2 linked regions of the Macaca fascicularis genome follow. The protein of the gene in region 2 purifies or fractionates together with the protein of the main gene of each other region. This does not show direct contact. Links are inferred from orthologs where the notes say so. Each region holds a gene or a part of one and is shown on either strand. Other genes may lie near its edges.

Evidence for each region. Proteins that work in one complex are often made in the same cells at the same time.
Region 1: the proteins of STK24 (region 2) and PPP2CB purify together in Homo sapiens (affinity purification with mass spectrometry; 5 studies listed by BioGRID and IntAct, with this or other methods). This does not show direct contact. The link is inferred for Macaca fascicularis from reciprocal best matches to the Homo sapiens genes STK24 and PPP2CB.

What each region holds. Positions count from the first base shown.
Region 1 is NC_088382.1:34,024,923-34,028,667, reverse strand, and holds the start of PPP2CB (serine/threonine-protein phosphatase 2A catalytic subunit beta isoform), read left to right. Parts: upstream 1-1,501; 5' UTR 1,502-1,911; coding exon 1,912-2,013; intron 2,014-3,745.
Region 2 is NC_088391.1:89,413,952-89,417,696, forward strand, and holds the start of STK24 (serine/threonine-protein kinase 24), read right to left. Parts: upstream 2,776-3,745; 5' UTR 2,554-2,775; coding exon 2,476-2,553; intron 159-2,475; coding exon 1-158. UniProt on the Homo sapiens protein: Serine/threonine-protein kinase that acts on both serine and threonine residues and promotes apoptosis in response to stress stimuli and caspase activation.

The DNA of each region.
Region 1 (3,745 bases), on a different chromosome or scaffold from region 2:
TTTAGGTCCTCCCACCAGCATAGCAAAGCCAAACACTGACATTGGGGTTTGCAGTGAAAGGGAGGCATTTATTGCATCACACCAACCAAGAAGAATCAGGCAGCTCATGCTTAAGACCCCAACTCCCTGATGGTTTACAGGTAAGAGGTTTTTTGTGTGCTTTTTTTTTTTTTTTTTGAAATGGAGTTTCGCTCTTGTCACCCAGGCTGGAGTGCAATGGCGAGATCTCAGCTCACTGCAACCTCCATCTCCTGATTTCAAGTAATTCATCTGCCTCAGCCTCCTGAGTACAGGCGCCTGCCACCATGCCCAGGAAGTTTTTGTATTTTTAGTAGAGAAGGGGTTTCACAATGTTGGCAGGCTGGTCTCCAACTCCTGGCCTCGGCCTCCCAAAGTGCTGGGATTACAGGCATGAGCCCTTGCACCCAGCACAGGTAAGGGTTTTTAAAGGCAGGGAGGCAGATGTTACAGGCAAAGTCATAAATCAATACATGGAGGCTATACGTGGGTTTGATCTAAAAAGCCAGGATATCTGAAGTAGGGACCCACAGGTCATAAGTGGATTCAAAGATTTTCTGATTTGTAATTGGCTAAGGAGGCAAAGCTTTGAGAATTCTTCCAGGCTCCTCAGGAAGAAATTTAGAACAAAGATAGGTAGTTTGAGATCTCCATGATAGTGGACACCATTTTCCATTTGGTGAGGTCCAGGTTTCTGAAAAACAACTCAGGGACATATGTTGTCTCCAGTTTATATAGGGAAGCAAACATTTTGTGAATCTAACGTCCTTGGCTACTGTCTTAAGCTATTATTACCTTCTTGCTTATCAGGTTGCTCATTGACTTATTGAGGAAGTTAGGTGCCTGGAATGTCCCTTCGGGGAACTCAAGATTTTCCTTTATTTCCATGCTTGGGGAGGGTGGGGGTGGGAGTGCCTAGAAGGCCCCTAAGAGGGGTCCCTGCTGTGTCTCACTCAATAAATATTTGTTGAATGAACAAATCATTACAACTCAGTACACATTGCAGAAAACACAGCCAAGAGCGCTGGAGCTAGAAGGGCCACAGATTATCCTACAGAGCAATCATTTCACTTTTCTAATGTTGAAAGGGAGGATTCAAGATGTTAGGGCTACAGGCAAGCCTGGAAATAATTAATTTACTCCACCATTATTGAATGCCTACTATTGAGTGCTAGACTCTGGGGAGACAATGTTAAGGGAAGCCCAAGTTTTCCAATTCCCTGTTCCGAGCACTGAAAAAGCACTGCAGGAAGCTAAAGTGAGGACAAAGTTCCCGGAGATCAGGATATCTAAAGGGAGAACCAGCAGAGCTTGGTCTTGGGCAGGGTTGGGACAGGAGGGATCCTGGCCTCCTCCGACCGTTTCTCCGCCAAGCCACGCGAGGGCGCCGTTCTGCCCCTAGCGCGCCGTGTCCCGGCGGCGCCGCCGCCTGCTCGCCTTTTCCCGGCGGAAATGCCCGAGCGATGACGGAAACCCGGAGGGAGGGAAGAGAAAGAGCGAGAGAAGGGGAAAGATACCCGGGAGAGGCCGGCAGGCGTGAGGCGGGCCTGAAGCGGTAGCTGGCGGCCTTCGTCCGGCGAGAGCTAGTCCGAGGGCCCGCGCCGCCCTCCCAGCACCTCCCCGCGTCCTTCACCGACTCCTGCGGCGCGCGGCCGGGCGGGGAAGGGCGGGCGGGGGTCTCCTACAGGCCTCGCGCTCGGAGCCGCCTGCTGGGCTTGGGCGGGGCGCGGGGACCGCGGCCGCCCTCCCCGGCTCGGTCCTCCCCTTGTGGGATCTGGCGACGGCGGCTGAGGGAGAGGGGAGCGGCGCCCGGGCCGGGGCCGGGGGCGGGTGGGGAGGGGGGAGGGCAGCGGCCGGGCCGGGGGTCGGGATCCGCATCGGGATCGGGCCGCCATGGACGACAAGGCGTTCACCAAGGAGCTGGACCAGTGGGTCGAGCAGCTGAACGAGTGTAAGCAGCTGAACGAGAACCAAGTGCGGACGCTGTGCGAGAAGGTGAGGGCGCCGCGGGGGCGAGTGCGGGAGCGCGGAACTGGGACGGGCCGCAGCTTTCCTGCCCGCCCCGGCCCGTCCGCACGCTGGCCCCGGGCCCGGCGCGGCCCACCGGGGGCCCGCGGGGCTGTGGGTCCGGCTCCGGCGTCCACCCGGGCGGCCGGCCCAGCCGTTCCGGCCCCGGGGCGTTGGGCTGCCCTCGCCCGGCCCCTCTGCCTCCGCGTGGTACACGCCCCACGCCCCCGGCCCAGATCCTGGTGGTGGGAGGCTCGAGTGCGGGCGGGCGGGCGGGGAACCATAGCCCCCGGAGCCAAGCCGGAGGTTGGTCGGGGTCGCCTGCGCTCCACTGGAGTTCCTGCCACTCTGGCATTTCCCGAGTGGAATAACGAAAGCGACATCCGAAAAAGGACCATTTTCAGACCAGTTTCTGAAAATGCACCTAAAATTAACCAGAATGTCGTGCCTATTAATGAACTTGTTAATAAATGTAGAATTTTTGTCAGGTGAACGGGGCACCTCGGAAATCACTAACTCAAGCCGGGCGCGGTGGCTCACGCCTGTGGTCACAGCTACTCGGGAGGCCGAAGCGGGAGGATTGCTTGAGCCCAGGAGTTAAAGACCAGCCTGGAGCGCAGAAGTTAGAGACCAGTGAGGCCCCGTCTCCACAAAAATTTTTTTTAAAAAATTAGCAGGGCGTGAGGGCGGGTGCCTGTAATCTCAACTATTCAGGAGGCTGAGGTGGGAGGATCGCTTGAGCCCAGGAGGTGGAGGCTGGCTGCAGTGAGCCGAGATCGCGTCACTGCACTCCAGCCTGGGCGACAGAGCGAGACCTTGTCTCAAAAAAAAAAAAAAAAAAAAATCACTGACTCTTGAATGTGTCAAGCGTTTGTTTGTGGAGAGGTAGGCGTGATGGCCAACTGTGATTTTTAAAATAGAGGTTGACTTTGGTGGAAACAGATGGTGACTGGTCTTTGCGTTGAGCGGCTCTTGGAAGTAAAGCGTTGATTCAGAAACGAGAGCTGGTCTTAAGTTTGGGAACAGTGTTTGCTGGAAATAAATGGGATGTGTGTTTTCATGCACGATAACACTTTGCAGAAAGTTATTTTTGTTTTTAATATATATAAAGTTTTTTTCTTTTCCAAAGAATAATAAAACATGCAGGTGATCAATTTCGTTCTTGTACATCGTGTGTGATCTTCACTTTCTGAATTCTGTATCCATTGTTTTCTTAACTCCTGGAATTATTTCGATCTCTCCATCTTTAAAGTCTAGAGTTTTCCAAATTCATCCTTTACAAGGTGGACTAAATAATTTTCATGTATTTTTATGTTAAAAATTCTCACTTGAAGTCCATGAAGAAGTAAAGATGTTATTTTAAGATGTAATGTATACAATTTTCTTAACCATAATGTTTGGAAGTCATGACGTCGCAGAAGTAGGTGAAGAAAAGATTTTGTTAGTCTAATTTTAGGACACTCTTAAAATCATGAAATTTACTTAGGAAAGGAGCACTAATAGATGGTGTTAAGTTAAAATAGTATTTTTAACGGGTGTAATGTTGGCTGGGGCCTTTGTGTATTAAGTAACTGTTAACACAGGAGGATTTATTTTTGTATATAGAAGTGCCAAGCAGGTGGTACTTTTCTCTTTCTGAAACAAACTGCTTACTTGTGACTTCAGTCGACGTTCATTTTTATTGTGATAACCTGTAATTTCATGAGGCTTAAAATGTATG
Region 2 (3,745 bases):
ATGTCCTCTATCTCATCTTCAGCTTCTTCCAGATCAATGATCTTTATGGCAACCACTTTCTGAGTCCGATTGTCAATGCCTTTGAACACCTCGCCAAAGGAGCCCTTCCCAATTTTCTCTAGTTTTGTAAAAAGCTCTTCTGGATCTGCCTTTAGGTTCTGTAGAGAGAAGGAAGAGAAAAGGGAAACTTCAGTCCCTCAAAGCACCACAACTCCTTTGTCATTTTATATGTAATGTTATAGACCACACAGTCTTCCAGGGACTCATCTATTTTCTCTGTCCAGCCATCAGGCTGGTAGTGACCACAGCTCTGCAGGGTCAGGGCGTAAGATTCCTAGGTCTCACCTACACATGCGCATCAGACTATGAAAGAGAGCAAGCATCCAGTAAGAACAATTACCCAGCTAGATTAGAAAACATGGAAAAGATGCCAACTATTGTATAATGAGAGTAAATTAAAATCTAAGTGCTTATTTGAACATGTTAGGATACATAGATTTAATGAAAAATCACTCTTGTCTAAGCAAAAATTCACTTTTCTCCCCACCCAATCCCCACAAGTTCCGGAATTCAAATGGATTTTTACTAAAATGTTAACCAGCTATATCACAGAATAGAAAAAAAAATGTATACCGTAAGTATGCCTCTTCATGAGTAGTACTGCCTTTACCAAAACGGTAACAATCTAACCAGATTCCAGAAAATAATAAGCAGCCTGTTTCCTTTTCTCACATAAACGCTGTACCCCGGAAATAGCCTCTAAAAGCTCTTAACCACCTGATTAGTTACACACACATATGTAGTATACAGTTCCAAGAAGGCTAGCTGTCAGAGTTCAAGCTCTCATCCTAACAGCTACACAGTACAGAGTCGTGTGAACAGCCGAGTTCTCAAGGGGGGCAGTAACCGGTCCTCCACAGGGCCTGTCTGTCAGGAAACTGAGAAGCGATCCTGACGTTTAGCAAGGCAAGACAGGGACGCTGCACATCTCCCCACAAATAACTGCACAGCCCAAAATGCCAATGGCACCCTGGTGACAAGCAATAGCCTGGAACCCCACAGAGCAAGGAAGGACTCTAAGAACTGCCACCGCTGCAGACACATCTTCCCTCAGAAATGGTCCATAGGGAAGAGAATGCCAGGCCAACCCTCCAAATCTGTCAGTCCTTTGAAGAAGCTGAACTACTAGGGAAAGCAACAAGCACACAGGGAGGACAGGGAGGCCTGAGAAGGAGGTAAAGAAAGAGAACGAGAAGAAAGATGACACAGAAGAGGGTATCCACAGAGCAGTGCATGTGAGGTGGGTCACACACACAGCACTATGGCAACTGCAGTGCATCATGAGTGAGGCCAGCCTCCGGGGCCATCAGGGGCTACCCAGCCACAGCTCTCCAAGGTGAGACACACTGAGTTCCGAGCAGCTACTCTCCAAGAGAACTGCTGAAAGCCAGTCAGCCCATTTCTGGTTTGCAGGCCTTACTGTGCTACAGCGTGTCCACCATGGCAACAACGCACATATCATGACAACGACACATGAGCAGATAGCCACAGTGACCTCCTGCACACAGGGGAGCAGTGCCCCTGCCCCATGTTGGTTTGAGGCTGCACATCAAACAACACAAAAGCTCACAAAACCCACCAACCATCTTAGTACAAAATGAACCAAGTAAGGCTTGTGTGCTGGACATGTACCCAATGGGAAACGCATCCTGGGGTTACCAAGAAAGCAGGACAGGCCAGAGGCCAGGCACTGAGCGCTCAGCCCACACCGGAAGGTCATGGCCAGCGTAATCCGAGGTCTAACGAGCTGCCAGGGATTATAAGGACTACAGTTTTAGCCATGATCCCCCTTGGCTCCTAAAAAGCTACACAAACGTCCGTTGTGTTAAAAATGAAACTATCTATCCAACTTCATTTCCACTTAAAGTACTTCACTAAACATATCAATTGGGTGATTAATCAAGAGGCATTTAATTTTTTTTCCTGAACAGTTGCTAAACTGTTTTCAGTCATGGCACTACATTTCAAACATCTTAAGACAGTCATACTTAGGAGGAAGCCTGGCTGTGTACTTACAGGTTTTAAAAACATAGTCCAAGACCCCTGGGTTTACCAAGATAGTCAATGACCCACAGTCAGAGCCCAGGATAATTTCCTCAAGTGAAGACTGTTTTCGGAGCTAGTGAGCAGCCCTACAATATCCTCCTCTTCCTATGTTCAAGCTTGTCAATACCAGTTGAGTATCACCAGTCACTTTTGGGAATGCCACAGAATGCCCGGGTGGGTACCTCCCATCTGACTCACCCTGCACGCGGCCTTGAGCCTGCACCTCCACCTCCTCTAACACAAGCTGCTAGGATGAGAAGCTTTTGGGGATGCGGGGGAAGCAGCGCTCATCTCCTTTTTTAGCTATAATGAAACATACCCCGTTTTCGGCAGCTACTATCTTCGTTGCTTTCATGCCCTCTCCCTTACCGTGCTCCCTCCAGGGTGAGGTAGGGCGGCCCTCCTTTTATTCAAGGCCAGTCCCCAAAGCTGGGCTCTGGAGTCCATCCTTCTCTCCTCCAGGATACGGCTTCGTCAGTAAACCCCTTCTCGGCTCCTTCTTCCATTCACCCCTCTGCTGGCTCTCTGCCCTTGGCAACATGCTCCAGTTTCTCCCATTTAAAACAAACGACAGCACCCTCCCTAACCCATAAGCCCTCCTCCTCCACCCTCTCCTTCCTCTGGAGTCCCTTCAAAGTCATCTGGACCTGCCTGGTCCTCCCCACCACTGCAGCCTGGCTCCGCTCTGGCTCCGGTCACCAGTGCTGCAGTGTCGTGTCTGAGCCTCGTCAACCACGCCCTCCCCCTCCTCTGGGTAACTTTCCAGTCCTTCAGCATCCACAGCCCTGCTCCCGCTGGCTTCTTCCAGTCCCCCTAGTTCCAGAAAGATCTTCACAGAGATTCCAACTTGACTCCACCTTGTCTGGCCCTTACTCCAGGTCCCAGCCTGGGCCTCTACTCCTTCTCCCCACAGATGCCCAGTGTTTCAGGGTCTGGGGCCCTCGTTTCCCAAACCTGGGACATCTGACATTCTTGCAGAAATATATGGGAGTTCAGAAGAGAACAAGGTGAATAACCCATGTTTTTAAAACACCCCAATGGATTCTGGTCAATCACCACCTTGAAGGAAAGGCTGTGATCAAGACTCATGTACATGACAGCTTTCAAAGCGCTAGCTCAGGCCTGCCTTCTGAACAGGAACCCCCGGACCAGCTGCTTCCCAGACATTCTCTCTTTCTACCCAGACATTTCAAGCTCAACATGTGTGCACGGAATTCGCCGCTTCCCCTGCTGGACTGTCGTCCCACAGTCGCCCTCTGCTCTGCGCTGTGTCCTTTGTTCAGCTGCAAGCTGAGGAGTCAGGGGCTGTGTCTCATGCACCTCTACACTCCTGTGCCCGGGTATAACAAATGGCATGGGACTGTGGTCAGGAAATGTCCCCTGAGCAATAAGAAAACCCCAGACTCACCCTGGCTTGAACAGGACACAGATGAGACACCTCAAAGGCTATCCTACACACAGACAGGGGGCCCTGGAGGGAAGGGGCAGCCCTGCTGACAAGGGTGAGAAGGGTGGTAAGAGCCTGCCTTCCTGAGGTCAGGAGAGCCGGTTAGCACTGTCATTCCTGGGAGCGGTGATTCTCAGACCTGGGTGAGCCTCACATTCCCCTGGAAGGCCACAGAGCCCCACCCCACCAAGA